Rattus norvegicus: one gene and its partners. The protein of the gene in region 1 interacts with the protein of each later gene in a pairwise test. Links are inferred from orthologs where the notes say so. Each region holds a gene or a part of one and is shown in the gene's direction. Other genes may lie near its edges.

What was found.
Region 2: the proteins of Trim63 (region 1) and Pdhb interact in a two-hybrid assay, tested with the Homo sapiens proteins (2 studies listed by BioGRID). The link is inferred for Rattus norvegicus from reciprocal best matches to the Homo sapiens genes TRIM63 and PDHB.
Region 3: the proteins of Trim63 (region 1) and Usp13 interact in a two-hybrid assay, tested with the Homo sapiens proteins (2 studies listed by BioGRID and IntAct). The link is inferred for Rattus norvegicus from reciprocal best matches to the Homo sapiens genes TRIM63 and USP13.
Region 4: the proteins of Trim63 (region 1) and Tcap interact in a two-hybrid assay, tested with the Homo sapiens proteins (3 studies listed by BioGRID and IntAct). The link is inferred for Rattus norvegicus from reciprocal best matches to the Homo sapiens genes TRIM63 and TCAP.
Region 5: the proteins of Trim63 (region 1) and Tnnt1 interact in a two-hybrid assay, tested with the Homo sapiens proteins (2 studies listed by BioGRID and IntAct). The link is inferred for Rattus norvegicus from reciprocal best matches to the Homo sapiens genes TRIM63 and TNNT1.
Region 6: the proteins of Trim63 (region 1) and Uqcrc1 interact in a two-hybrid assay, tested with the Homo sapiens proteins (2 studies listed by BioGRID and IntAct). The link is inferred for Rattus norvegicus from reciprocal best matches to the Homo sapiens genes TRIM63 and UQCRC1.
Region 7: the proteins of Trim63 (region 1) and Mybpc3 interact in a two-hybrid assay, tested with the Homo sapiens proteins (2 studies listed by BioGRID and IntAct). The link is inferred for Rattus norvegicus from reciprocal best matches to the Homo sapiens genes TRIM63 and MYBPC3.

Annotation. Positions count from the first base shown.
Region 1 is NC_086023.1:151,823,736-151,827,235, forward strand, and holds part of Trim63 (E3 ubiquitin-protein ligase TRIM63), read left to right. Parts: intron 1-857; coding exon 858-1,091; intron 1,092-2,854; coding exon 2,855-2,877; intron 2,878-3,182; coding exon 3,183-3,307; intron 3,308-3,500. UniProt on the Homo sapiens protein: E3 ubiquitin ligase. Mediates the ubiquitination and subsequent proteasomal degradation of CKM, GMEB1 and HIBADH.
Region 2 is NC_086033.1:19,181,655-19,185,588, forward strand, and holds the start of Pdhb (pyruvate dehydrogenase E1 component subunit beta, mitochondrial precursor), read left to right. Parts: upstream 1-1,134; 5' UTR 1,135-1,461; coding exon 1,462-1,503; intron 1,504-1,576; coding exon 1,577-1,630; intron 1,631-2,906; coding exon 2,907-3,014; intron 3,015-3,107; coding exon 3,108-3,170; intron 3,171-3,261; coding exon 3,262-3,297; intron 3,298-3,674; coding exon 3,675-3,934. UniProt on the Homo sapiens protein: The pyruvate dehydrogenase complex catalyzes the overall conversion of pyruvate to acetyl-CoA and CO(2), and thereby links the glycolytic pathway to the tricarboxylic cycle.
Region 3 is NC_086020.1:117,609,943-117,613,442, forward strand, and holds part of Usp13 (ubiquitin carboxyl-terminal hydrolase 13), read left to right. Parts: intron 1-1,280; coding exon 1,281-1,365; intron 1,366-2,123; coding exon 2,124-2,217; 3' UTR 2,218-3,500. UniProt on the Homo sapiens protein: Deubiquitinase that mediates deubiquitination of target proteins such as BECN1, MITF, SKP2 and USP10 and is involved in various processes such as autophagy, endoplasmic reticulum-associated degradation (ERAD), cell cycle progression or DNA damage response.
Region 4 is NC_086028.1:83,876,851-83,879,674, forward strand, and holds Tcap (telethonin), read left to right. Parts: upstream 1-1,155; 5' UTR 1,156-1,180; coding exon 1,181-1,290; intron 1,291-1,480; coding exon 1,481-1,874; 3' UTR 1,875-2,324; downstream 2,325-2,824. UniProt on the Homo sapiens protein: Muscle assembly regulating factor. Mediates the antiparallel assembly of titin (TTN) molecules at the sarcomeric Z-disk.
Region 5 is NC_086019.1:78,355,535-78,359,034, forward strand, and holds part of Tnnt1 (troponin T, slow skeletal muscle), read left to right. Parts: coding exon 1-7; intron 8-449; coding exon 450-563; intron 564-1,083; coding exon 1,084-1,193; intron 1,194-1,846; coding exon 1,847-1,937; coding exon of another isoform or gene 1,938-2,037; coding exon 2,038-2,078; coding exon of another isoform or gene 2,079-2,303; exon of another isoform or gene 2,304-3,500. UniProt on the Homo sapiens protein: Troponin T is the tropomyosin-binding subunit of troponin, the thin filament regulatory complex which confers calcium-sensitivity to striated muscle actomyosin ATPase activity.
Region 6 is NC_086026.1:118,467,061-118,471,022, forward strand, and holds the start of Uqcrc1 (cytochrome b-c1 complex subunit 1, mitochondrial precursor), read left to right. Parts: upstream 1-1,162; 5' UTR 1,163-1,164; coding exon 1,165-1,233; intron 1,234-1,461; coding exon 1,462-1,602; intron 1,603-3,962. UniProt on the Homo sapiens protein: Component of the ubiquinol-cytochrome c oxidoreductase, a multisubunit transmembrane complex that is part of the mitochondrial electron transport chain which drives oxidative phosphorylation.
Region 7 is NC_086021.1:97,549,908-97,553,860, forward strand, and holds the start of Mybpc3 (myosin-binding protein C, cardiac-type), read left to right. Parts: upstream 1-1,153; 5' UTR 1,154-1,183; coding exon 1,184-1,208; intron 1,209-2,189; coding exon 2,190-2,456; intron 2,457-3,014; coding exon 3,015-3,131; intron 3,132-3,211; coding exon 3,212-3,319; intron 3,320-3,405; coding exon 3,406-3,554; intron 3,555-3,882; coding exon 3,883-3,953. UniProt on the Homo sapiens protein: Thick filament-associated protein located in the crossbridge region of vertebrate striated muscle a bands. In vitro it binds MHC, F-actin and native thin filaments, and modifies the activity of actin-activated myosin ATPase.

The DNA of each region.
Region 1 (3,500 bases):
CACATATCTGTGCCTCATGTGTGTGCAGTGCCAGAGGAGGCCAGAAGAGGGAGCCAGATCCCCTGGAAATGGAGTTCCAAGATGGTTGTGAGCCAACACAAAGGTGCTAGGAACTGAATCAGGGTCTTCTGGAAGAGCAGGCAGTGCTCTTAACCACCAAGCCATCTCTCCGGTCTTCTTTCTGTCTTTCTGCCTTTGATTTGATGTTTGTTTGTTTTTCTGGACAGCGTTTCTCTGTGTAACCCTGGTTGTTCTGGAACTCACTCTGTAGTTTGAACTCAGAGCTCCAGGCCAGCCAGGGTTATAGAATTAGACCCTGTCTCGAAAGAAAGAAAGAAAGAAAGAAAGAAAGAAAGAAAGAAAGAAAGAAAGAAAGAAAGAAAGAAAGAAAGAAAGAAAAGAACAGACAGAGGGAGGGACGGAGGGAGGGAGGGAAGAAAAAGAAAAGAACAGAACAGACAGAGGGAGGGACGGAGGGAGGGAGGGAGGGAAGAAAAAGAAAAGAAAGGAAAAAAACCTGGTCCCTTCTTGAGGAGGGTTGGAGCTGGTAAGTTGGGGAAGAGCCATCCATCATCACCACAAGTGGACTGCTCTGTGGAGTGGAGAGGACCATTGTAACCCTGAGAGGTATCTCATGCCGAAAGGCACCACTGCCAAGCCCATTCGACTTTTTAAGACCAGGTCTCACTAGGTTGCACCAATTCAGCCTTCTGTGGGTGCGGGCATTTTCCTCTTCGATAGCTTTGCTCCGTGTGCGATCGAGTCTTGCCTTGCTGCAGAGAGTCCCTGGGGCCCTTTCTGACTCAGAAAGTGGGTTGGCACTTCATGGGATGTGACTGTAGGATTTCTGTCCTCAGGAAAACAGCCACCAGGTGAAGGAGGAACTGAGCCACAAGTTTGACGCCCTCTACGCCATCCTGGACGAGAAGAAGAGTGAGCTGCTGCAGCGGATCACTCAGGAGCAGGAGGAGAAGCTGGACTTCATCGAGGCCCTGATCCTCCAGTACCGAGAGCAGTTGGAAAAGTCGACCAAGCTTGTGGAAACAGCCATCCAGTCCCTGGATGAGCCCGGAGGGGCCACCTTCCTCTTGGTGACTGGAATCTGAAGGGTTTGGGTAGATTTGAACTATTACTCTTTCCTGATCTTCAAATGGGCCTGGGCTGTTTAAATCTTGGTGAAATGTCAGGCATCTCCGGTCACTACAGGCTCCTGACCATAAATAATCCCAGTTCTTGGGCAGCTGAGACAGGAGGACTCCAAGTTCAGGGGAAAGCAGGACAGTTTGGTGGAATAGTATCTCAAAATAAAACATGCCAGGCTAGGCTTGGTGACACACGACTTTGCTATCCCAGTACTTGGAAGACACAGGCAGAGGCAAGAGGATCTCTGTGAGTTTGAGGCTAGCCTGGTCTATAGAGCAAGCTCCAGGCAGCCAAGACTGCATGGTGAGACCTTGTCAATAAATAAACAAAAAAAACAAACATAAGAAATATTGGGAGAGGAGAGATGATTCTACGGCTAAGAACATGTCTTATGTCGAACACTTTTAATCCCAGCACTGGGGAGACAGAGGCAGGCAGATCTCTGTGACTTTGAGGCCAGCCTGGTCTACAGAGTAAATTCCAGGACAACCAGAGCTACATAATATCGAGAACTTGTCTCAAAACAAAACAAAGAAAAATAACACTTTGGTTTTGTTCTTACAAAGGACCTGGGTCCAGTTCCCAGCACCCACATTGTGGCTTACAACTACCCATAGCTCCAGTGCCAGGGTACCCAATGCCCATTTCTCACTTCCAAGGGCACCAGGCACATATGTGGTTCACATACACACACGCAGGCACTCATACATACACTTGAAACAAAAATAGGTCTTTTAAACAATATCAGCAAAACCCAGAGGGGCTGGAGAGATGGCTCAGGGGTCAAGAGTGCTTACTATTCTTTCAAAGAACTTGAGTTAGGTTCCCAGAACTCACGTCTGGCAGCTCACAAATACCCATAATCCCAAGAGCAGTGGAACTTGACACCCTCTTCTGGCCTCCAGGGGCTGCAACATACATACATATACATACATATACATACATACATACATACATACATACATACATACACACATACACACATACATACACACATATATACATATATACACATACATACACATACATACATACACATACATGCATACACATACATACATACATGCATTACATACATATGCACACATACATATACATACATATATACATACACACATACATACATTACATACACATACATACATGTATATACACACATATATACATAGATACACACATACATATATTACATAAGTACATACATGCATACAAAGACAATTTTAATGTGAGTACACTGTAGCTATCTTCAGACACACCAGAAGAGGGCATTAGATCCCATTAGAGATGGTTGTGAGCCACCATGTGGTTGCTGGGATTTGAACTCAGGACCTCTAGAAGAGCAGTCAGTGCTCTTAATCACTGAGCCATCTCTCCAGCCCCCAAGAAAAATTTAAAAACATATTAAAAAAACTACAATACCCAGAATATATGCCTTCAAGCTCTTATGGTCTAGCTTTGTCCAACCCATGGAAGAAAGTTTGGTTGACTCTCGTCCAGGAGACTTCAGACATTTTGAGTGCTTGGTCAGAGAACCCTGGCTTCCTGCCCAGACAGTAGAAACAGACTGGGGTTCATGTTGGCCAAGATCTGTGAGAAAATGTCCGAGTTCTATTTAACAGGGCAGGATTCAAGTTACGCCTGTACCATGGAATGGTACCTCGAGTCTATCCTTTGGAATTTCGATGTTAACCTCTGTTCTTTTTCTCCACAGAGTGCCAAGCCGCTCATCAAGAGGTCAGTGTTCCCAGGACTACAGCCTGTGTCCCTAGTTCCCCTCAGGGCTTCTGACACCTGCCCAATGGATCCCTGTGCATTAGTTCTGCCAGGATCGGGGGGGATCGGGACTCACCCCAGACCATGTGCCCTACTCTGTTAGATCATCCACTCTGCTTGACCCTAAAGAAGAAATGTCCTCTGCCCCTTCATCCCCTCACTTCAGGGATGGATTGTGGGACTGGGACGGACCCACATAGAGCCAAGGCTAAGCTGTCCCTTCCTGTATGCAGCCCGAGACCTCACCCTATCTCTCTCCCCCACAGCATTGTAGAAGCTTCCAAGGGCTGCCAGCTGGGGAAGACAGAACAAGGCTTTGAGAACATGGACTACTTTACTCTGAATTTAGAACACATAGCAGAGGCCTTGAGGGCCATTGACTTTGGGACAGGTAAAGGACATGATTGTGCTACTTGCTTTGTGCATGTTTGACCTTGGAAAGGCAGTGCTCCTCTTGAGCGCTGATCGGAAGCAGATTCATATTTTAAAAAAGCCAGATTTACGCAGTCAATGTTGACAGGGCCTCTCTAAGGAGCCCTGTCGGTCTTAGAATTCTCTAAGTGGACCAAGATGGTCTGGAACGC
Region 2 (3,934 bases), on another chromosome or scaffold:
GTAGTGAATGTAATATTAAAATTGCTAGTAAATAAAATTTGAAACACTTATGCCATAAAAAATACCCAGTGGTAAAAAGAAAAAAATATGGATCGGGTGGTGGTGGCACATATCTTTAATCCCAGCACTCAGAAGGCAGAAGCAGATGGATCTCTGTAAGTCGAGGCCAGACTTGTCTACAGAATGAGTTTTAGGACAGCCAGGACTACATATAAAAACCCTGTCTTGGGCTGGAGAGATGGCTCAGCGGTTAAGAGCACCCGACTGCTCTTCCAGAGGTCAATTCCCAGCAACCACATGGTGGCTCACAACCATCTGTAAAAAGATCGGATGCCCTCTTCTGGTGTGTCTGAAGACAGCTACAGTGTACTTATGTATAATACATGAATAAATCTAAAAAAAATAAACAAACAAAAAAAAAAAACCCTGTCTTGTGGGGTTAAAACAAAAACATCTATTTCCATCAAAGTCTTTGATGGCAGGAGAGATAAGAGGCTTTGAAGTCCTTGTCCCAAACACAAGTTTATATGTTCTTTGATAGCAGACTTATATTTGACATACCTTACAACATGACCACCTGATGGCCCTAACCAGGGAGCTTTGGAAGGAGGTAATCCCATACCTCATTGTCCATCTTTCCATTTACAGTCGATGAGACTGAATGCAGAAAATAAGGGCAGCGTCTAAACAGCTATTCTCAAATGTCTCTAGGTCTGTTAAAACTAGGCTTCAGGCTTCTTCTACGGTCCAGGTAAGCCATCTAAATTCAGCATGATCAGAACAAACTCCTCACCTTTTCACGTCTGGATGGAGAGAATACTACCGCCTACAATCACTTATCAAACACACATCACAATACCTGGCACAAAGTGGACACTTAGTGCACACAAAAAAGCTATTGTTTACATTCAATTGACAGCGCCCATTCATACAATGTGTTGCAAGATTCACGTGTTGCTCAAGGCCCGCAGTGCCCGCAAAGGGGCCTTAAGGTCTTTACAGCCTCCGTTGATCAGGCCACACTGACTCAGTCCTAGCACGTGAGCAGACAGCAGTAAGGGCCGAGTGCAGGGCGTGCTAGGTGCATGACAGCCACCGCGAGCAGTCTGCAAAGTTCTCTCCAGTGCACCAGGTCAGAGAGGAACAGCAACCTCGCGTCACCTCCGCAGGACCAGGATTCGCTAGATGGGCGGGGCTCGCAGGCGTCAAAACTGGCCGTTGGCTACGTATGCAGAGGCGGGGCCATAGGTCTCACCCTGCCAAAGCCTGGGGGCGGGGCTTTTGAAATACTGCCCTGCTATTGGCTTACTCAGGAAGGCGGGCCTCCAGTTGACATTCTCTATTGGCTTTGCCGAACAGAGGCGGGACCTAAAGGTGTCACGCCCTACCATTGGCTGCGCCGGACGGGGTCTGCGGCGCTTCTGTGTTGTCATTCGGCTGCGAGTAGAGGACACGGGCAAGATGGCGGCGGTGGCTGGTCTGGTGCGGGGACCTTTGCGGCAGGTAAGTAGCGGCCCCTGGTGCACCCGCCGTATCCCCTGTGCCCTTTCTGAACCTCTTTCTCTTTCACTGCCAGGCTTCCGGGCTGCTGAAGAGGCGTTTCCACCGCTCGGCGCCCGCGGCGGTGCAGGTAACCGGTCTGGACTCTGGGCAAGGCCGGGAGGGAATCCTGGGTTCCGGGAGCAGGCCTGAAAGATCGGGGTCGCGTCTGCCCCAAGGCCGAGTGGCATCTCGGACCCTGGCAGTGGCCGCGTCCTGCGGATGATTCGCGCTGGCTCTGTCACCGCCCGGTGCCACTCATACTGGCACCCATTCTCACCAGGCCGGTGGCAGTCTTAACCGACAGCCACCTGCTTTCCTGACTGTTTACGCCCCCACCTCGAATTGTGGTAAAATATAACTTTAAAACCTTGTGTGTTCAAATGTGGCATCGAATACATTCACTGTATACACTGTCAATCTCCAGAACTTTACACGATAATTCACACTATGCCAGCCGCTGTTGTACTTTTCTGGCACATTTTGAGTTTGCTTGTTTTAGAACGTCATATAAGTGGAATTTTTTGATTTTTTTTGGGGGGGGGGGTCTGGCTTATTTAACAAGGTTCAACCATATTGTAGAATACATACATCAGAATTTGTTCCTTTGAAACATTGACTCATATCCTTTGTACATTTTATTTATGTATTCATCCAAGGGTGACTTTGTTTCCACCGTTTGGATTTGTTCTGGTGCTGAGAACACTGGCTTGCAGATACACACTTCTTTTCTTTTTGGCATATGTATATCTTAGAAGGATTTTACCATTCTACATATTTTAGTAGCCTAGCAGCACCAGCATTGTGGATGTCAAGCTGTACACTACTGAATGCTTAAACTTAGCCGTAGTTAGTAGCCATGGTTAGACCTTCCTTGCTCGTTCTCTGAGTCTTAGTGCTCCAAGGGTATAGGTAAAACAGCCTGGCGTGTTTTCTACATGGGAAACTGCCTTCGAGCTAGTTTAGCAATTGCTTGGTTTTCTTGACTGTGCACATCAAGCAGTACAGCAGAAGTGTTCTGTAGGCTTATCACTAACATCTAGTGAAAGATTATTGGCATAAGTTACTTGTTAAGTTCTTGGAGCTTTGATTTGTATGATAAGTTTTTTGTGTGTGTGAGCATGCCCGTGTGCACTTGAGGTCAACTTCCAGGGAATCAGTTTCCTCCTTCCACCACGTAGAAATGGAGATGAGACTCGTCAGGCTTGGCCATCTTGCCTCCTCACATTTTTGGAACTTGGACTGCCTGCATGAATGTTAGATTTATGTTTTATGTTGTGGGCAGCGTAGATAAGTATGAAGAAGGGAGTTTCCGTAGTCTCCTTAATAATCCTGTAGCGTGTTTTCTGTTTATGTACCTGTGACAGTTGACAGTTCGTGAAGCCATTAATCAAGGTATGGATGAAGAACTAGAAAGAGATGAAAAGGTTTTTCTGCTTGGGGAAGAAGTTGCCCAGTATGATGGTGCATACAAGGTAACTGAACTAGATAAACTTTATATAAAATTAAAAAGTAGCCATTTACCCTGACAACCACTTGAAAGTGATGTGGCAAAATCTAAATTGTAGGTTAGCAGAGGCCTGTGGAAGAAATATGGTGACAAGAGGATCATAGATACTCCCATATCGGAGGTACGCCTTCTGGACAAACTGAGAGGGGCTGGTCAAATATTCAGTCTTAATTTCTATGGACTTTTTCTAAAGTTTGCTGTTTGCTTTACAGATGGGCTTTGCTGGAATTGCTGTTGGTGCAGCTATGGTATGTAATATTTATGATGCTTATCAAAGGAGATTTCCTTAATATCTTTTGAAAATATTGTTTGCACTGCGTGTTGTGGTGTTTGCCTTTAATCCCAGCACTCAAGAGTCAGGCAGATCTCTAAGTTCAAGCCAGCCTGGACCACAAGTAAGTTCCAGATGGCCAGAGTTACACAGAGAAAACTTTTTCAAAAAAACAAAAACAAAAACAAACAAACAAACAAAAAAACAGAGAGAGAGACAGACAGACAGACAGACAGACAGACAGACAAACCCCAAGCCGTGCTGTCCGGATGTCAGAGGAGTGGATTGCTTGGTTGTTTACCACTCTTCCTTGTTCTGTTTAGTCTTTTTAACATCGACTTTTCCATTTGACAGGCTGGGCTGCGGCCCATCTGTGAATTTATGACCTTCAATTTCTCTATGCAAGCTATTGACCAGGTCATAAACTCAGCTGCCAAGACGTACTATATGTCTGCTGGCCTCCAGCCGGTGCCCATAGTGTTCAGGGGGCCCAACGGCGCCTCAGCGGGCGTGGCTGCTCAGCACTCGCAATGCTTCGCTGCGTGGTATGGGCACTGCCCCGGTTTGAAAGTGGTCAGCCCCTGGAATTCCGAGGATGCGAAAGGACTTATTAA
Region 3 (3,500 bases), on another chromosome or scaffold:
GAAGCAGGGTGAAGCAACAGCCCTAGTGGCATGAGGTGGGAGATAGGTGAGGGTTTATAAGGTGGGTGGTTCTGGGTCACAGCAGAGGCCTTGAGTCATGTGAGGATTGAAGAAAAACGTTGGCTGCTAGAAGGTACAGTAGGTGTGGAGGCTTGAGGGCAGAGCACACTGTGTGTGCTTGAGGCCCTACTCGGGGCCAGAGTAACTTAGTGAAGTGATGGGAAAGATGGGAAGAGGTCAGGGCATCTCATAGACTGTTGCAAGAATCAGAGGTTCTGGAGCTCTGTAGGAGTCACCAGAGGGTATTGGGAACAATAACAACCACAGTTTGACGTCCACTAAAAGCAAAAACAAACAAGCAAATAAACAAAGATAGGAAAGACCACTTTGGGAGCCATGCCCAGAGTAGTCCAAATTGTCAGGGAGAAGGGAGGGGCAGCAATCAGTTAGGGGACTTGTAACCAGTCCTGAGTAGGGCCCTGGTGACCTGGAGCCAGGGGGATGAGTGGAGAAGGCTTCGATGGCTGGCTTCTGGATATATTTTGAAGGACATAGTGACTGGGTTTACTAGTGATTTGGCAAGATATAAGGAGCGAGAGAGCTAATCGAGATTTTTGACATAAGTTACTAGAAGACTGGGATCGCCATTGATTGAGATGGTAAGGCTGAGGGAAAACAGTCAGCAAACCAGGGGTAAAGGAAGCTTTCTCAACCCAGTACAAAGTACCTAGGTGACATGGTCCTGCATGTGGAAATCAATGACTCTATTGATAGCCTTAGAGCTGACAAGCAGGCATTGTAAGGTTGCTGGAAATAAGAGTAATGTACAAATCTCAGGGTTATGCTCTGACTTCATTTTCTTCCTTTTTATTTTTGAGTTAGAGTCTTAAACTCAGCATTCTCCTGCCTCAGCCTACTGAGTTCTGGGATTGCAAGCACACATGCATGCGCATGTGTGCATGCGTATGTGCACACACACACACACAACAGTGCTTGCTGTACTTTGATAGCGGCATACCATATTAGTGTGTGTGTGTGTGTGTGTGTGTGTGTGTGTATGAATGTGTGTGTATCTGAACGTGTGTATGAATGTGTGTGTGTGCATGTGTGTGTATGTACATGCGTGCATTGCCATATTGTGTGTGTGCTCTAGTGTGTGTGATCGATATGGCATGGTGAATCTACATAGTCAGCCAGTCTCCTGTTGGCCCCAGGCTCTGTTCAGAAGCGTGCTTGGCTCCCAACTGCTGCCTTGTAACGGCATTGTTTTCTTTCCCTAGTGTATGAGTTGTTTGCGTTCATCAGTCACATGGGAACATCTACGATGAGTGGCCATTATGTTTGCCATATCAAGAAGGAGGGACGGTGAGTCTTTTAGAAGGTAGTGGATAGCTATGCTGTCCAGCCTCCTGGGCTCAGCCACTTTACTAATCGCACTGGTGTTTTTATGTTATTTCTGCTTCCTACATTGCTTTGCCTTGTTTTGTTTTGTTTTGTCTTATTTTAAGACAGGGACTCATTATGTAGACCTGGGCTGGTCTGGAATTCACTATAGAGCAGGCTGTTCTTGAACTCATATCCACTGCCTCTTCCTCCGTAGTGCTGGGTAGGATTAAAGGTGAGTACCACCATGCAGCCTCTCATAGTGGGTTGAAGAGGCATACTCCTCCCCTCCACCTTTGCTTTTTAAACCAGAGTCTCTGTGTAGCTCAGGCTAGCCTAGAACCTGTTTTGTAGTCTTAGCTGGTCTTTAACTTGAAGTTCCCCTGCCTCGGCCTCCTGAGTACTAATGTTATAAGCATGCACGTGTGTCTGACATGTTGTATGCTCAACTGTTTAACAAACACAAACACTGGGGCTTCCTACTCAGTTACTGGTGCACAGTTCAAGGGCATCCTATGCTACTTATGGAGTTTGAGGCCAGCCTGGGGTTAAAAACACTGTCCTGGCAGGGGTGGGAGTGGGGGTGGTTCTTTACCAAAATTCTGTTCCTTTTATGTTGTGTTTTGGCCTTACATTAAAGCATCTGAGTTACTGGAGACTCCCCTCCACAGTGTACAGTGCCTTCCTCCTGCCATGGGGATATTGCTGACACAAACCCACACATACTTCTGTGTTTTCAGATGGGTGATCTACAATGACCACAAAGTTTGTGCCTCAGAAAGGCCCCCCAAAGACCTGGGATATATGTACTTTTACCGCAGGATACCAAGCTAAACCTCACAAGAATTGGCGAGAAGAAGCCATACACCTTTATAATTTGCCAAAAAAGAAAAAGAAAAAAAAAAAGAAAAAGGAAAAATAAAGGAAAAAAGTTGGGACAGCCGGATGCGGAGGACTACATGGGTATTTACTGCTCCTTTCAAGAGCGTGGTCACTCGACGCCTTCTGGAGAAGAACTGGGAAGAAAATTCTGTTGGCGGTGATATTCTGTCCTGGGAGATTTTGTAACTCTTCAGGGAGAGAGTGACGGAAGCAAAGGCATTGTCCACCGGCCCCTCAGAGAGGCACTGTCTTCCCCTCTCTTCTACTTGGGGGGGTCACCAGTGAGGGCCCCCCACAGTGAGAAAAATGCCCACTTTTAAAATTTTTCCACATAGGAAATCAAAACCTGGACTGGCTTTTATTGGTGGCACTTTGTTTTCATTTCCCACAGTAAGTTCTGTGCACACTAGGACATCTGCAGTGAGAGCTATTTTTAATTTAAATCACGTCAAACTTTATATTACACTGTATGAGTGTGTGTGTGTGTGTGTGTGTGTGTGTGTGAGAGAGAGAGAGAGAGAGAGAGAGAGAGGCAGAGAGAGAGAGAGAGAGAGAGAGAGAGAGAGAGAGACCTTTGTAGTCTGCTGTACGTCTGATGGATTGGTGTTCAAAGGCCAAATAGCTGCTTTTAGGCATATTTGGAAAAGGCAGGCAAACATCTTTAAAAATTATAACTCAGGAACAATTGTTAAAAGTGAGTTCCCCACTTGGATTTTAAAGTACAGAGAGCTGAGCTGTGGCCCCTTAAGTGCTGTCTGGCATTCATGAGGGTCTGTGTCGTTTGACCTTGATGCCAGGTGCCTAAGTCTTGTCACTGTGCTTTGCCAAGGGCAGATGGGATCTCTTCCTCAGTAGGGCATTCCCTCAAAGCTTTGTGTTTAGTTTTAGTTAAATAACTGGCCTCCCAAGCTCCTGCTTACTCCCTGGGATCACGTTAGATGCCTGTGGCTTGTCTGATTTTTTTGGTCCCTGAACTTCCTTGTGTTTTCACATCTCTGCTTCTCTGGGGCCAGCTTCACCTCTGCCCTCACTGCCTATCTGCTGTGGCCCATGGTACAACCTGGGGCGCTTTAAGGATGCAAGCTGCAGAAACACCTCTGTTGCAGCTGCAAAGCCAGGGCCTTCCTTCCTTGTCATTTCCGGGTCCTAGCTGTGGTCTGAGATCAGAGCAGAGTTGTGGATGTGCAGTGGAGAGGAACCAGAGCTCTCCATAATTTTCTTACTACTTCTCATCA
Region 4 (2,824 bases), on another chromosome or scaffold:
ATACAACGTGGGCCGAGGCCTAGGATTCAGTAATGCGCTATTCCGAGTCTGACAGGAGCTGAGCGCTCTCTCTCCTGTCCCTAGGAGTTGCTGCCTCTGTTGCTGCTGCCTCGAGGGCCTTTGCTCAGTGCCTCAGTGCCTCAGCAGCGCCTATCTTCCTCACCCCCACCTCCTGCCCCCTGCCCTTCCCCCAGCCTCGCCTCCAGCTTCTTGTACCATGAATTACACCCTGGATGCTTGGGCGATCTCATGACATCTGTTTCCTCTGCTTCATGAGACAGAGCTAATCCCACCTCCCAGGTAACAGGGCAGTGGGGCTGCCCAGTCCAAGGGTTCATTCCCCTGTGGCCAGAAAAGCAGATAAAGGGAGACTCTGAAAGGGGCAGGCACTGCTCCATGATTATATAAAGTAGAGCCAGCTTGAGGCTGGTCTGGGCCTCCTAACCCTGCTCAGTGCGCTTTCTCTCTTTCTGTCTCACCATGCTTCTCCCCATGTGGGCAGCTCCTCTCCCACTCCGGATTCCTTCACCCTGACTGGTGGTATTTAGACCACTTCTGGGAATGAAAGCACACGGGGGCCCACACCCAGGGGTCGGGTGTGGCAAAAATGTCCTCTCCCCTGCCCGGTGCTGCTGGTTAGTAACTAGGCTTTCTGTACAGACTCGGTTACGTGATCCTTCTGGTCAAGGGACCTCACTATGGTATGTGCCCTTGAGCCCAGGAAGGGGAGACGATGGGGCAGAGCGAGGGGGGCATCAGTTCCTGCTTCTCCTGTTCTGTTTACAGACAAGCCGCTGTCCTCCCTGAATAAGGGGGAGCAGGCAGAAGACAGTGCCAAGGTGGCACGAGGCTGCCCACGTGCCTGGTCTGAGGTGGTGTTTGCTGCATGCCAGACACCCGGAGGTGCTACTCTGAGGACCCAGGCCCCCAGCAGAGCATCTCGCAGGCTTTGGAAGCTGACCTCTGACCTGAGAGCAATCAGAATTTGGGTACCCCAACCCCCGCCCTGGATTCAGAGCCCCATCACCACCAGTGAGTCTTGGCTCTGCTTATAGCATCTGACGCCAGAGGGGCTGAAAATAGCCCCTGGAGAGGGGGGAGAGGGGGGAGAGGGGGGAGAAGGGGGCTATTTAAAGGGCTCCGGAGGAGCAGGGCATAGCAGAGGGATCAAGAAGGAATAATGGCCACTTCAGAGCTGAGCTGTCAAGTGTCTGAGGAGAACCAGGAGCGCAGGGAAGCCTTCTGGGCCGAGTGGAAAGACCTGACTCTGTCTACCCGGCCGGAAGAGGGGTGAGTGTGGATCATCTGGAATTCTGCCTCCCCCTCCCCAAATGCCTGCTACATAGCAGAGTACACGCCCCTGAAGTTTCTGGGGCCCCTCCCCTGCTCCAGGGACCTGGCCATCCCAGGGAGACCCCACTTAGCCCAAGACCAGAGAGCAGCTGCTCTCAGTTGATTCTCCTCATCTCTCCACTTTCAGATGCTCCCTGCATGAGGAGGATACACAGAGGCATGAGACCTACCACCGGCAGGGACAGTGTCAGGCCGTGGTACAGCGCTCGCCATGGCTGGTGATGCGCCTGGGTATCCTCGGCCGTGGGCTGCAGGAATACCAGCTGCCGTACCAGCGGGTGCTGCCGCTACCCATCTTCACCCCTACCAAGGTGGGGGCCACCAAGGAGGAACGCGAGGAGACCCCCATTCAGCTGCGGGAGCTGCTGGCCCTGGAGACAGCCCTGGGCGGCCAGTGCGTGGAGCGCCAGGACGTGGCTGAGATCACCAAGCAGCTTCCCCCGGTGGTGCCAGTCAGCAAACCTGGGCCCCTGCGGCGTACCCTGTCTCGGTCCATGTCTCAGGAAGCTCAGAGAGGCTGAGATGACTGCGACCGATGCAGACTCTGATGTGTCTGCCTTGGGCTGGGCACTTCCTGCCTAGGACGATGGGGGAGAGCTGCTGGCCAAGGCTGCTTTGTAGTTTGCCCAGAGGTGCGGGCCATGGGAGGAGGGAGCCAGAGGCCAGGATGCCTAGGTGTCCTGGGTCCCCACAGGGAGGGGAACAAGGATGGTGGACACTAGGAGTGGAGAGCTGAGTACCCTCAGCCCCAGAAGAAGGGACAAGAGATTCTGTTGAGAGCCAGAGGCCCCGTGAGAGGCCCTGGAACACGCCTGTGCGGTTACAGCGATGGAGTAGGAGAAGGAAGGATGTAGAATGCTCCGGAAGGATGCTTGGAGACCGGAAGGAGGGGGATGTAAAGAGGGTGAAAGCAGGGCAGGCCCCCAGCACCCTCTGTTAGCACTGCAATAAACGCTCAGCCATGTCCCAGGCTTGCATCGTTCTTTCTCTCTCTCTCTCTCTCTCTCTCTCTCTCTCTCTCTTCCTTCCTTCCTTTTCTCTTTCTTTCCTTCCTTCCTTTCTTTCTTTCCTTCTTTCTTTCTTTCTCTTTCTTTCTTTCTTTCTTTCCTTCCTTCCTTCCTTCCTTCCTTCCTTTCTTTCCTTCTTTCTTTCTTTCTTTCTTCCTTTCTTTCTTTCTCTTTCTTTCTTTCTCTTTCTTTCTTTGTGGTTGGGGGTGGGCATGAATGTCTCCCATGAACTTCTGGGAACAGCCAAGCATTTGAATTAAATATGGCATAACCAGAGGGTACACTCCATGCTTCTGAGTGGGGTACAGGGGCAGGGTTGTAAACAGAGTAACTGTCTGGTCCCCCTTCCTGTGCCACTGCCCGGCCCTGGCTTCTGTGTCCAGTTCCTGGCACTGGGGAGTGTTCAGCAGGCCAGCTGGCATCAGGGTTTGTTTAAATGGTATCTGTGGACAATATGGAAGGGG
Region 5 (3,500 bases), on another chromosome or scaffold:
GCTGGCGGTAGGTGTCTGTCTTTCCGTATAGAAGAATACTTTATTTCCCATGATACTCTCTGTGGTTCTCAGAAAGTCCCTGTAGCACGTAGCATAAAGATTTTCCTATCGGAAGGGCAAACAGTGCATATAAATAATAAAAAAAAAAAAACTCTACTGCTGATCCAACTTCAGGCATGGCTGGATTAAGAGGCTCAAACCATAGCACAAAGACTGAGCTTTGCTGGGTGGGATGGGCTCAGACCTACTATCCCAGCACTGGAGACACTGAGGCAGGAGGATTTCTGTGAAATTTGGGGCTAGCCTGAACTGTATACCAAGTTAAGGTATGGACCCCTCCATGGCTCAAACTTCACTCATTGTGGAGCTGAACCATCAACTACCCAGACTAAGATCTTCCTCCTTCAGGTCTGTAGGGCCTCATGGAGTGAACCCCTTTGTTCTCACAGGAGGAGAAGATGCGGAAGGAGGAGGAGGAGGCAAAGAAGAGAGCAGAGGATGACGCCAAAAAGAAGAAGGTTCTGTCCAACATGGGGGCTCATTTTGGGGGCTACCTGGTCAAGGTGAGTCTAGCCTGTGGAAGTCTGCATTTACAAGTAGGGAAGGGAAACTTCAAAGTGTTGGTCCTGAGGAGGGGGACTAAGCCTGGACTTCATTCAGGCGCAGCTGTCACTGTAGATAACATGACAAAGTAGGTGAGGGAGACACCCTGCTCATTGTCTCTGTCCCTCTTCTGTTCACGATGTCCTTCTGGTGGTGCCTGGGTGTTAGGGAAGAAGACTGGGGCCTGTATTCCTACATTTGAGGGAGGAGGCATGGAACTTGAATTTCTGGGTCTGAGTCGGGAGGGGCTGGAGCCTAGGGCTCTGGGACTAAAGGAGAGCTGGAGGCTGGACCCCTGGGTCTAAGGGAGGAGGGCTGAGGCTGGAGGGAGGAGGGCAGTAGTCTGGAGTTCTAAATCTGAGGGAGGAGGACTGAGGCTAGACTCCTTGCATCTGGTGGAGGCACTGACCTTGATTGAAGGACACTGAGTGGATTTAGCCTCCAGGTTCCACTCTTGGTTTGCGATTCCTCCCCCTCCAGGCAGAACAGAAGCGTGGGAAGCGACAGACTGGTCGGGAGATGAAACTCAGGATCCTGTCTGAGAGGAAAAAGCCCTTGAACATCGACTACATGGGGGAGGACCAGCTCCGGTAGGTCGCAGAGGCTCTCACAAGGCTTCAACGGGCGCTACTCTGGGTCTGAACCTTGGTGCTGTGTTACTTCAGGCAATTGGCACTACTTTTCTGGTCTACTGTTGTCTTCTGTGTTTAAAATGTCGCTCAGATACTAGCTGCCCTGTAGCTGGCGTGGCCTTTAGTGTCTGGTATCCACAGTGCCCCCTCCAGAATTTAGGCGGAATTGCAGCATTCAGGGAGGAGACAGGAGGATCAGAAGTTCAAAGTCATCGTCTGCTGTATATGGAGTTGGAGACCAGGCTTAGTTTACATGAGATCTTGTCCCAGGAACCCAAACTACACACACACACACACACACACACACACACACACACACACACACACACACACACACACACACATTAAATATGTAAGTAATAGCCAAACGGCTTTCATTCTGGGTCTCAAAGCCATTACATCCTTCTCTCTTCGTTGGGAGACTTCCGTTTGGGAACTTCCGTTTCAGAAATGTGGCCACACATTTTAAAACCTTCAGCCTGCAATCTTAGCAAGAGTGCAGCAACTCTACCAAACCCAAAGAGACTTGGCCTGGGGTAGGTGTTTCAACCTCTCTGGACCTAGAACACAGGCTGGATCTCGCTGCATCCTGGTCCTTCTCCACCTGCCAGGGAGAAGGCCCAGGAGCTGTCAGAATGGATCCACCAGCTGGAATCGGAGAAATTTGACCTGATGGAGAAATTGAAGCAACAGAAATATGAGGTGAGATCTACCTGCCTCTGTTGGGGCCCAGGCTGGGTGAGAGGTGTTGCAGGCGGGTCCCTGCCTGGGTGTCTACCTAGCCTGGTTTCCTGCTCCACAGATCAATGTGCTGTACAACCGCATCAGTCATGCCCAGAAATTGTAAGTGCCACTCCTAACCTCTACATACGAACCCTTCTGTTCCCACCATCCTTCCCTCTCTCCCACTCTCCCTCCTTCCCTCCCTCCCTCCTTCAGCTGCCCCTTTGGACTCTCCTGCCTTGCTTCCCGAGATATCCTATCTTTATCTGTTCTTGTGGGTTTATTTATTGTCTTTTTTGTCTGTTTAATTTGTTTATTATTTCAAGACAAAGTCTTACTTGGTAGTTCAGGCTAGCCTGGAACTCACTGTGTAGCCCAGGCTGGCTTTGAACATGTAAGTAAATCAGTGGCACGCTGGGATGGTAGACGTGACTTACCATTCCTGGCTGTTTTGTTTGTTTGTTTGTTTATTTATTTATTTATTTTTAAAAGATTTATTTATTTATTACATGTAAGTACATTGTAAATGTCTTCAGACACATCAGAAGAAGGCATCAGATCTCATTACAGATGGTTGGGAGCCACTATGTGGCTGCTGGGAATTGAACTCAGGACCTCTGGAAGAGCAGTCAGTGCTCTTAACCACTGAGTCATCTCTCCAGCCCCTGTTTATTTATTTCTAAGGCAAGGTTTCACGTAGCCTAGATCACTAGGTAGCTGAGGCTGGCCTTGAACTACTGATCCTCTGGATTTGGCCTTAGGAATGTTGGGATTATTGACTTACACTACAACCTCTTGCTTTCCTTATCAGCTCTTAGGTTTCAGTCTCCCTCCAGCTCCTTTCTTTCTGAGTATCTATTATTTTACACCATATTTGCATCACATGTTTGCAAGCACACATGTGTGTGCATCTGTATGCGTGTTTGTGTATGGGTATGTGTGTGTGACTGCGTGTGTGTGTGTGTGTGTGTGTGTGTATAAGTATGCATATGTGTGTGCCCACAGAAACTAGAAGGTTTGGATCCATTGGAGCTAAGTTACAGGCATTTGTGCACCACAACATATGGAGTGTACTCAGAGGATGTCTTGGAAGACTTGGTTTCTTCTTTCTTCCTTGTAGTCCATATATATATTTTTTTTTCTTGCTATATAGCCCAGATTGTCCTCAAACATTTCCTAAACCTCCTGCTTCATCCTCCAGGGCTGAGATCACTGATGTGTTCCACCATGCCCAGGCTTTTCGATGCTTTCTGCTCAGTCTGTTTCTTTTTCTAGCCTTTTCTGTACTCTTCCAGCCTCCCTGAGCCCCATTGCATGTCACGACCTCTAGCTAACCCTTCTTTTACCCCTTATAAGTTTGCATGAGTTCTCTGTGAACTAACCCATGAAAGTCAACTCCCACCTGACCACCAACCACTTACCGGGCATTATCTGAGAGAGCTGCACTCAGCCGGGTTGTGGCTCAGTGGTAGATCTAGAATCCCCAGTGAGGGACTAAGGGTGTGGCTCAGAGGTAAAGCCCCTGCCCAGAATCCCCCAGCG
Region 6 (3,962 bases), on another chromosome or scaffold:
ACATCATGTGCACACACATAGTAGATAAAATAATCTTAAACTAAAAACTCACGTTTTTCAGGAAGCTGAAAGAGAGCTAACGATGTAGCTCGGTTGGCAGAATTTGCCTAATGTTCACCAGACCCAGGCTTTACCCCTCAGCACCAGGGAAGCCCGTCCGTCGGTGGCACTTATTTGCCTCTGATCTTATTACTTGGGAGGGGGAGGTAGAAGGACCAGAAAAGTTCAAGGTCATCCTAGGCTTCAAAGTGATTTTGAGGCCAGCTTGGGCTACACATGACCCTTTCTCTCCGAGAAAAGAAGCAGGTAACTAGGGTTTGTCTTTTGTTTCTTTCTTTGTGTGTTTGCGGCTGGCCCTCGCTGGATATCCTTGGCTCACTGTGAATACCAGGCTGGTCTGGAACTCAGAGGGCTTACTTGCCTCTGCCTCTTGAGTACTTGGACTATCAGTATTTACTACCACATCCAGCAATTTAAAAGATTTTATTTCACTTTATTTTCTGCTCTAAATCATATTTCTGGTCCACAAAATGTCAATATACACTAAGTATTGTTTGTCTGATTTCAGATAGTTTTTTTAATGTTTTGAAATAATCACAAATACAGAAAAGACATTTTTTTGTTTAGTTTTTGTTTTCCAAACAAGGAGTCCTATTTCACAAATTACCTCTACACGGTTCCTTCTTTTCACACACACTTTTTTTTTCTTACATTTTGGAGACACTGTCTTACATAGCCCAGGATAGTTTTGAACTCCTTACACAGGAGAGGATGTCCTTGAACTCCTTATTCTTTTTTGTCTCCTCTTCCCAGACACCTTCTAGCACAGAGAGCACAGACAGAAAAGTGCTTCAGCTTTTGGGCTTAATGTGTGCTGAGCCACTGTCCTCCAGGGCTCTGAGCTGCTGCTGGCTTACATCTCCTGCAGTTGCACACCGCCTCCCTCAGGTGGAAGAAGGCGACGAATGGGACCGTCTAAGGGCCAGCCAGTCGCAGGTTCTCTTAGAGGCACAAGGACCAAACGACAACATGCGATTAATTCTTGCCAATGGACTTGATGCCCAGCAGGGGGCGATCGAGCACCAACTCTTCCTTACAGCGCCTGCGCCTCATACTCCACCCTGCGCATGCGTAGCGCGGCTTTACGCTGACGGAAGTTAGAAGATGGCGGCGTCCGCAGTCTGCCGAGCGGCCTGCTCTGGGACGCAAGCGCTACTTCGCACCTGCCGCTCGGTGAGGTGGCAGCGAGACGTTGGGCTGCAGGGCTCAGGGCTTTGGCACGCAGATGAGGAGTAGGCTGTCTCAGCAGTGGCGGGTCTGAGTGGGGAGGTCGCGGGGGTCAGGGCCGTGGGAAGGTCATGGCGGAGGGCGGGGATGGGTATCTTCTCGGGCTTGGATGTGAGAGTCGAGGTCCCAGAGGCTTGGAGAGCAGTTCTTACAGTGGTCACCTTCTTCCTTTAGCCGGCCCTGCTGAGGCTACCTGCCTTGCGGGGTACCGCAACCTTCGTCCAGGCCCTCCAGAGCGTGCCGGAGACACAGGTCAGCGTATTGGACAACGGGCTGCGTGTGGCCTCGGAGCAGTCCTCGCATCCTACCTGCACGGTGAGTGTTTGCCAGTCCTCCAGATGAGGCGCGCCGTGTTGTCCTAGGTTGGGATGTGACCTTGGGTTGCAGTCTTACGTGTTTTGGGTGGAGACTGGAGTACTGCCGGGTTTGTCCCTGTACCAGTCTTCAATTCTGACTTGACTTCACAGCGGCAAGTGTGTCTAGCTGGTCTTACTTTTACCTGTATGAGTGGCTTACTCAAATGTGTGTATGTTCACCATGTCTGTGCATAATGCCCACGGAGGCCCGGAAAGGACATTAGAGCCCCTGGAACTGGAGTTACAGGTGGATGTGAGCTGCCTTGTGTGTGCTGGGAATCGAACCTGGGTCCTGTGGAAGAGCAACTCCTAAACCCTACAGTATCTCACCATCCCATGTATACATACGTAAAAATTAAATTAGTTTTTTCCTCATGTTTTTTTCAAGACAGGGTTTCTCTGTGTAGTCCTGGCTGTGCTGGGACTCACTCTGTAGATCAAGCTGACCTCTTGAATTCAGAGATCCATCTACCTCTGCTCCCCAATTTCTGGGATTAAAGAAAGGCATGAGTCTTCAATGCTTACCTCAAAAGTAAAAAAACAAGGTGTAGAGTAATAAGCGACAGCACCCAGTTTCCTCTGCCCTCCATAGATATTTGTATCTATGTGTATGTGCTACACTTGAACACAGAAAATAAATGCCTCTGAAAGACTGGGAAATTAACTGGGGTGGAGCCTTTGCCTAGTGAGTATAAAGCCTTGAGCTTGATACGTAGCACTGAAGGAAGAAAAAAAATGCTTTTGAAGATTACATTGAATTGGATGATTATCCAAAAATAGTTGCAAATCTGGAGCACTGGTTTGCTCTTTGGTTAAGAGGGCTGCTGCTCTTACAGAGGACCAGATTTCTGCTTTCAGCGTCTTTATTGGGCAACTTCCAGCCACCTGTAACTCTAGCTCCAGGAGATCAGACACTTTCTTCTAGCCTTCCCCACTTCTGGCCTTCTGGGATACGTACACACAAACTCAAATATTTTATTCAAAATTGCAAATTGGGCTGGAGAATTGAGTCTGGTTTATAGCATTTGTTCTCTTTTAGAGGACCTGGCTTTGATTTCCAGCACCCACACAGTGGCTCACGGCCATCTATATCTCCAGTCCCAAGGGATCCTGTACCCTCTTCTGACGTCCACAGGCACTAGGCACACACATATACATACACACAGGCAAAACACTCATCCATATGAAATAGTGAACATAGAATTTAGAAATCTTCAAAATGGAGTCAAGAATTGAAATCTTTACTAGGTGTGTTTACTAGGTGAGAAAACTCCAAGAACCAATCCTCCCAAGACATTTAGTAGGGCTAAATTGTTTCGTTGTTTTTCAATACAGTGTTTCTCTGTGTAACCCTGCACTCTAGTGTTCTGGCAGTCTGTGTAGGTCAGGTTAGCCTCAGACTCGCAGAGATCTGCCTGTCCCTGCTTCCTGGATGTTGGGATTGTAGGCGTGTGCACCACTGCCTGTCTAGGGTTATGTTTTTGTCTGATTCTTTTTCTAGGAGCAAATAATGACTTGTGATAAAGTTGTTATAAACACAGGATATAAATTCCTTGACATGTAGAACCTACATGAATAGACTCAAAACCTACTAATGAAGCTTAGTAAATCATGCTCTATTCCACAAACTGATTATGCTTCCGTTACCGAGAAAAGATGGTGTCGTTTAAAAGTCGAAGGATACTGTGGATCGTGATCTAAGATGTTAAGAGTCAGGGGACTGTTGGGGCTAGAGAGATGGCTCAGTGGTTAAAGGCACTGGCTGTGCAATCACAAGAGCTGGAGTACACATCCCAGCACCCAGGTAACAAGCTGAGAGTCCTGCAAATGCCTGAGGCTCCAGCTTGGAAGGATATGGTGTAGCTTCTGGCCACCACATGCACATAGGCGCCCACACTTACACACAGGTGCACATACATTCACACACAGAGTAAAAGGCATGCTTATCTGAAGTTATCCTGCACACTGGCGTATAGCATCTATTCGCAAAGCATGTGGTAGACAGTTAGCTGTGAGCAGATAAGCTCAGCCATGTGGGTAAGTAGCGTGTTTCACAGCTCGTCAGGAAACTGTTCACAGTGCTCGCATGCCCGCAATCTAGTACTTGAGAGGTGGGCAGAAGGAGCAGGAGTTCATCATCAGCTATAGAATGTATTCAGGGCCAGTTTGAGCTATATGGCATCCTGTCTCAAAAAAGAAAAAAACATAAAAGAATATTAAAATTCACACTTTATAAGTAGAAGCAGGATTGGGGATTTAGCTCAGTGGTAGAGTGCTTGCCTAGCAAGCGCAAGGCCCTGGGTTCAGTCCCCAACTCCG
Region 7 (3,953 bases), on another chromosome or scaffold:
ACACACACACTCACACGCACACACCACACACACATATACACACTCAGACTCACACACCACACACACACACACACACCACACTCTCAAACACGCACCACACACACAAATACACACACACACACCACTCTCAAACACACACACATGCACCACACACACAAATACACACACACACTCACACACACCACACACACATATACACAGACTCACACCACACACACACACACACACACACACACACACACATGACTTAGGAGCAGGTGATGTGACTTTAAAGTAACTAAAATTGGGTGGAAATCGTGGCTGATAAGTTCCTATTGAATGGAAGATGCTTATATATGGGCTTCCTCCCTTCTGGTGATAGGCTATCTATTCTACTAGTGTGGCTTGATGGGGATTCCCATCATTTCTTTTTCCCCCCTAACAGTGGATGAACCTGACGCATGAGGAGTATCAGGAGGGTCCAGTCACAGAACAAGAACAGTGGGGTGGGGTGGGGGCTGAGGGATTCAGGATCCTCCCCATTTATCTTCGGTTCATCCTCGTGACTTCAGTAAGAGCTCTCTCTGCTCCTGTCCTCCACTTTGGAGTACATTTAGAGATTCACCCCCATTCCCTCATCTGCAGGCTTGCCTAGCGCGTCCCTTGGTGGGACAGTAACTCCCAGCATTATTCCCTCCCTGCCCAAGCCTAGACCAAGCCCACCCAGGATTCCATGGTCCAAGGCCAGCCCATGCCCCTCATGGTGCAGTAACGTGTGCCAAAGCTCTGCCGATCAAAAGAACAATAGCAGCTAGCTAGCCCTGGACACCTTCGCCCCCAGCGCATGTGCCCTTGACCCTTTAGCTGTGGGTGTCACAGGCCAAGAGCCCCTCGACAGTATAGTTTTCCGCTGGGTGGATACACAAAGGTCGGCCTACCTCTGAGGTCCACGGAGGATTGGAAGGGCAGAAGTTATTCAGTCCTGCTGGAAGTGGGGGAGGAGAAGCCGGAGGACCAAGTGGCCCTATCTTCTCCATGAAGATACCTCAGCTGGATGGAATTTGTCTATATTTAGCAGGTGGCTAGCAGGAGGCTGATAAGCAGGGCTGGGGAGGGGGTAGTCCTCATAAATAGTGAGAACACGGGACACTGTTCAGTCCCTCCGTGGGTGGCCTGCTTGGTGCGCCGTGTGACTGTTCTCAAGATGCCTGAGCCAGGGAAGAGACCAGGTAGCTCCACAGAAGGGGTTGGGTCTGGACCTGGGGCAGTGGTGTGCATGGCTTGCGGGTAGGTTAGGTACTGGCATAGGATGAGGCCTGTGGGTTCCAGGAAGGGACAGGACAGCGGTCCTCTTTGGGCTGTGTCTGATTCTCTGCTTCTTTTCCCAACCCTCTAAAGAGGTTGAGGATTAAATTCAGTGTCAGGGCCACTGAGAGATGACTTTTCTAAGTTAGGAAGAATCCAGGGTCATTCTATTCGGACCTATGCTTTCTTTTTCAGTCAAATTCCAGAAGTTCCACGTAGGTTGCAGTGGAGGCAGTCCACTGAGTCCCTGAGCACCTTCTGGTCTCAGTTTCTGAATGTACTGAGTATGTGGGGGTAGTGATCCGTTCCAGCTCTGAGTGTCTGCCACATGAGCCGGAACCCCTAGGGTCCTCACATCATGCCTGACTCCAGATATGGGGTGACAGAGCCTCTCTTCTCTTGACTAGAACAGGCAAACGAAGGACAGAGAACCTGCAACCAAAGGCCTGAACCAGGCCCATACCCTTGCAGAGATCATGGGGGCAGGGATCCAGTCCCCAGGCCCTACCTCCAGCCCCCCTGCTGCTCCCAGGCTAGTGTTATCTCAATTGCTCATTCTTAGTGTGAAGCCCTCAGAGGACAAATTTAGCTATATTCCAAGTAGGCAGCTGGGGCCCTTGCCAAGGGTCCCACAATGGGAGAGGAGGCTGGGCCCATCGCTGATGTTCCTAGTCAGGAGGGTAGGAACATCTTGTGGGGTGGTAGGGACAACATCCTGAGCTCTATCATCTGTCACTTAACCTCTCCCTCACCTGAGAAATAAATATGGTTGCACCTACCCCATAGAACTCCTGGAGCATTAAACAAGAGGCTTGGAGTGTGCTTACCACAGTCTTCTTGAAGGAGGGTGTCAGGGGTCAGGTACCAGGGAGCCTGGCTCCTGCAATTTCCATCTGACTCTTCAGTGTCAGCCTTCACCAAGAAGCCCAGGTCAGTGGAGGTGACCGCAGGCAGTGCTGCTGTGTTCGAGGCTGAGACGGAGCGGTCAGGCCTGAAGGTGCAGTGGCAGCGGGATGGCAGTGATATCGCTGCCAATGACAAGTATGGTTTGGCAGCAGAGGGCAAACGACACACACTGACAGTGCGGGATGTGGGCCCTGACGATCAGGGTTCCTATGCGGTCATCGCAGGCTCCTCAAAGGTCAAGTTTGACCTTAAGGTCACAGAGCCAGGTAAGGGCTTGCTGACCTCTCCTCAGGGCCCAACCTGATCTTCAGTCATAGCCCTGAACAGGGAATGGACTCTGGGCACTGGCCTTTGCCCTGGCAGTGCTGTAAACCAGAAATGCCTGTTCCCCTCTTCTGCACCAAGATCTCTCTAAGCATTAGTTGTGGCTGCAGCTCTTTCTGCATTGTGGGGGTGGGAAACCATGAGCGGTGTTCTAGGAAGGGCCCTCTCCCATAGCAGACCCGGAGTCTGGCCACACCCAGACAAGGACTTGGCTAGCTGTATGTGTTGGTGAGGAGCTTGGTGGTGCTGGGGGTGCTGGGTCAAGGCCAAAGCCTGGAAAGGGACAGCAGATGGATCGCAGGGCTGTTCAGAGCAGAAATCTGGACATGGGACAGGTGGACTGTGAAGGTTGGAGGAGCAGCAGGCTAGCTCCTCTTCTTGGAGTGAGACCAGTGCCTGAAGGAGTCTGGGGCACAAGTGGAATGCATTTTAGGTGGGACATAGGTCTGATGTCCGAGAGGGGGGCTCTGATTAGAAACCGTTCCATGACCCCACCTAAGCCCCTCCAGAGAAGGCAGAGTCTGCAGTTGCTCCAACCTCTATGGAAGCTCCAGAAACTCCCAAAGAAGTTCCTGCTCTAGCCACTCAGTTGGAAGGAAATGTCTCAAGTCCTGAAGGTAAAGGGGACTGGACAATGAGGGACAGGCCAGTGGGTGGGGAATATCCCAGGACAGACCTCAAAAGCCTTCTTTCTTAGGGTCAGTCTCGGTAACCCAGGATGGCTCAGTCGCAGGGAGTCAGGGAGCCCCTGACGACCCTATTGGCCTCTTTCTGATGCGGCCACAGGATGGCGAGGTGACCGTGGGTAAGTGGGAGCTTCTGTGCTCATACTTGGGACGGGGAAGGAAGCCCCAGGGCAACAAGGTCAGAGAAGTCACCTTTCTCTTGCAGGCGGCAGCATCGTCTTCTCAGCCCGAGTGGCGGGAGCCAGCCTCCTGAAACCGCCTGTAGTCAAGTGGTTTAAGGGCAAGTGGGTGGACCTGAGCAGCAAGGTGGGCCAGCACCTGCAGCTGCACGACAGCTACGACAGAGCCAGCAAGGTGGGACACAGGGCACGGAACTATGGAGTACAGGATGTAGGGAGGCTAGAAGACTGGGAAGCAGGGCAGAGCTGCAATGGTCAGCCACACCAGCCGCACACTGCACAAAACAGCTCCTACGTGTAGCCATCTGCTTGGAATTTTATCGTGGCCATGCGCCAGCAAGAGCCCATCAAGGGTCTTGAAAGGTGGATCCTTTCTGTGAGTTATACAAAGGCTCTGTATGTGTTAGCCCTGAGAGGTGAGGCGGGCAGGCTTTGCCATGCCCATTCTCTCTAGAAATGCAGGGCCTCTCCTTGCCCAGACTTCCTCCATCCCCTGCCCACAGGTCTACTTGTTTGAGTTGCACATCACAGATGCGCAGGCCACTTCTGCTGGGGGCTACCGCTGTGAGGTGTC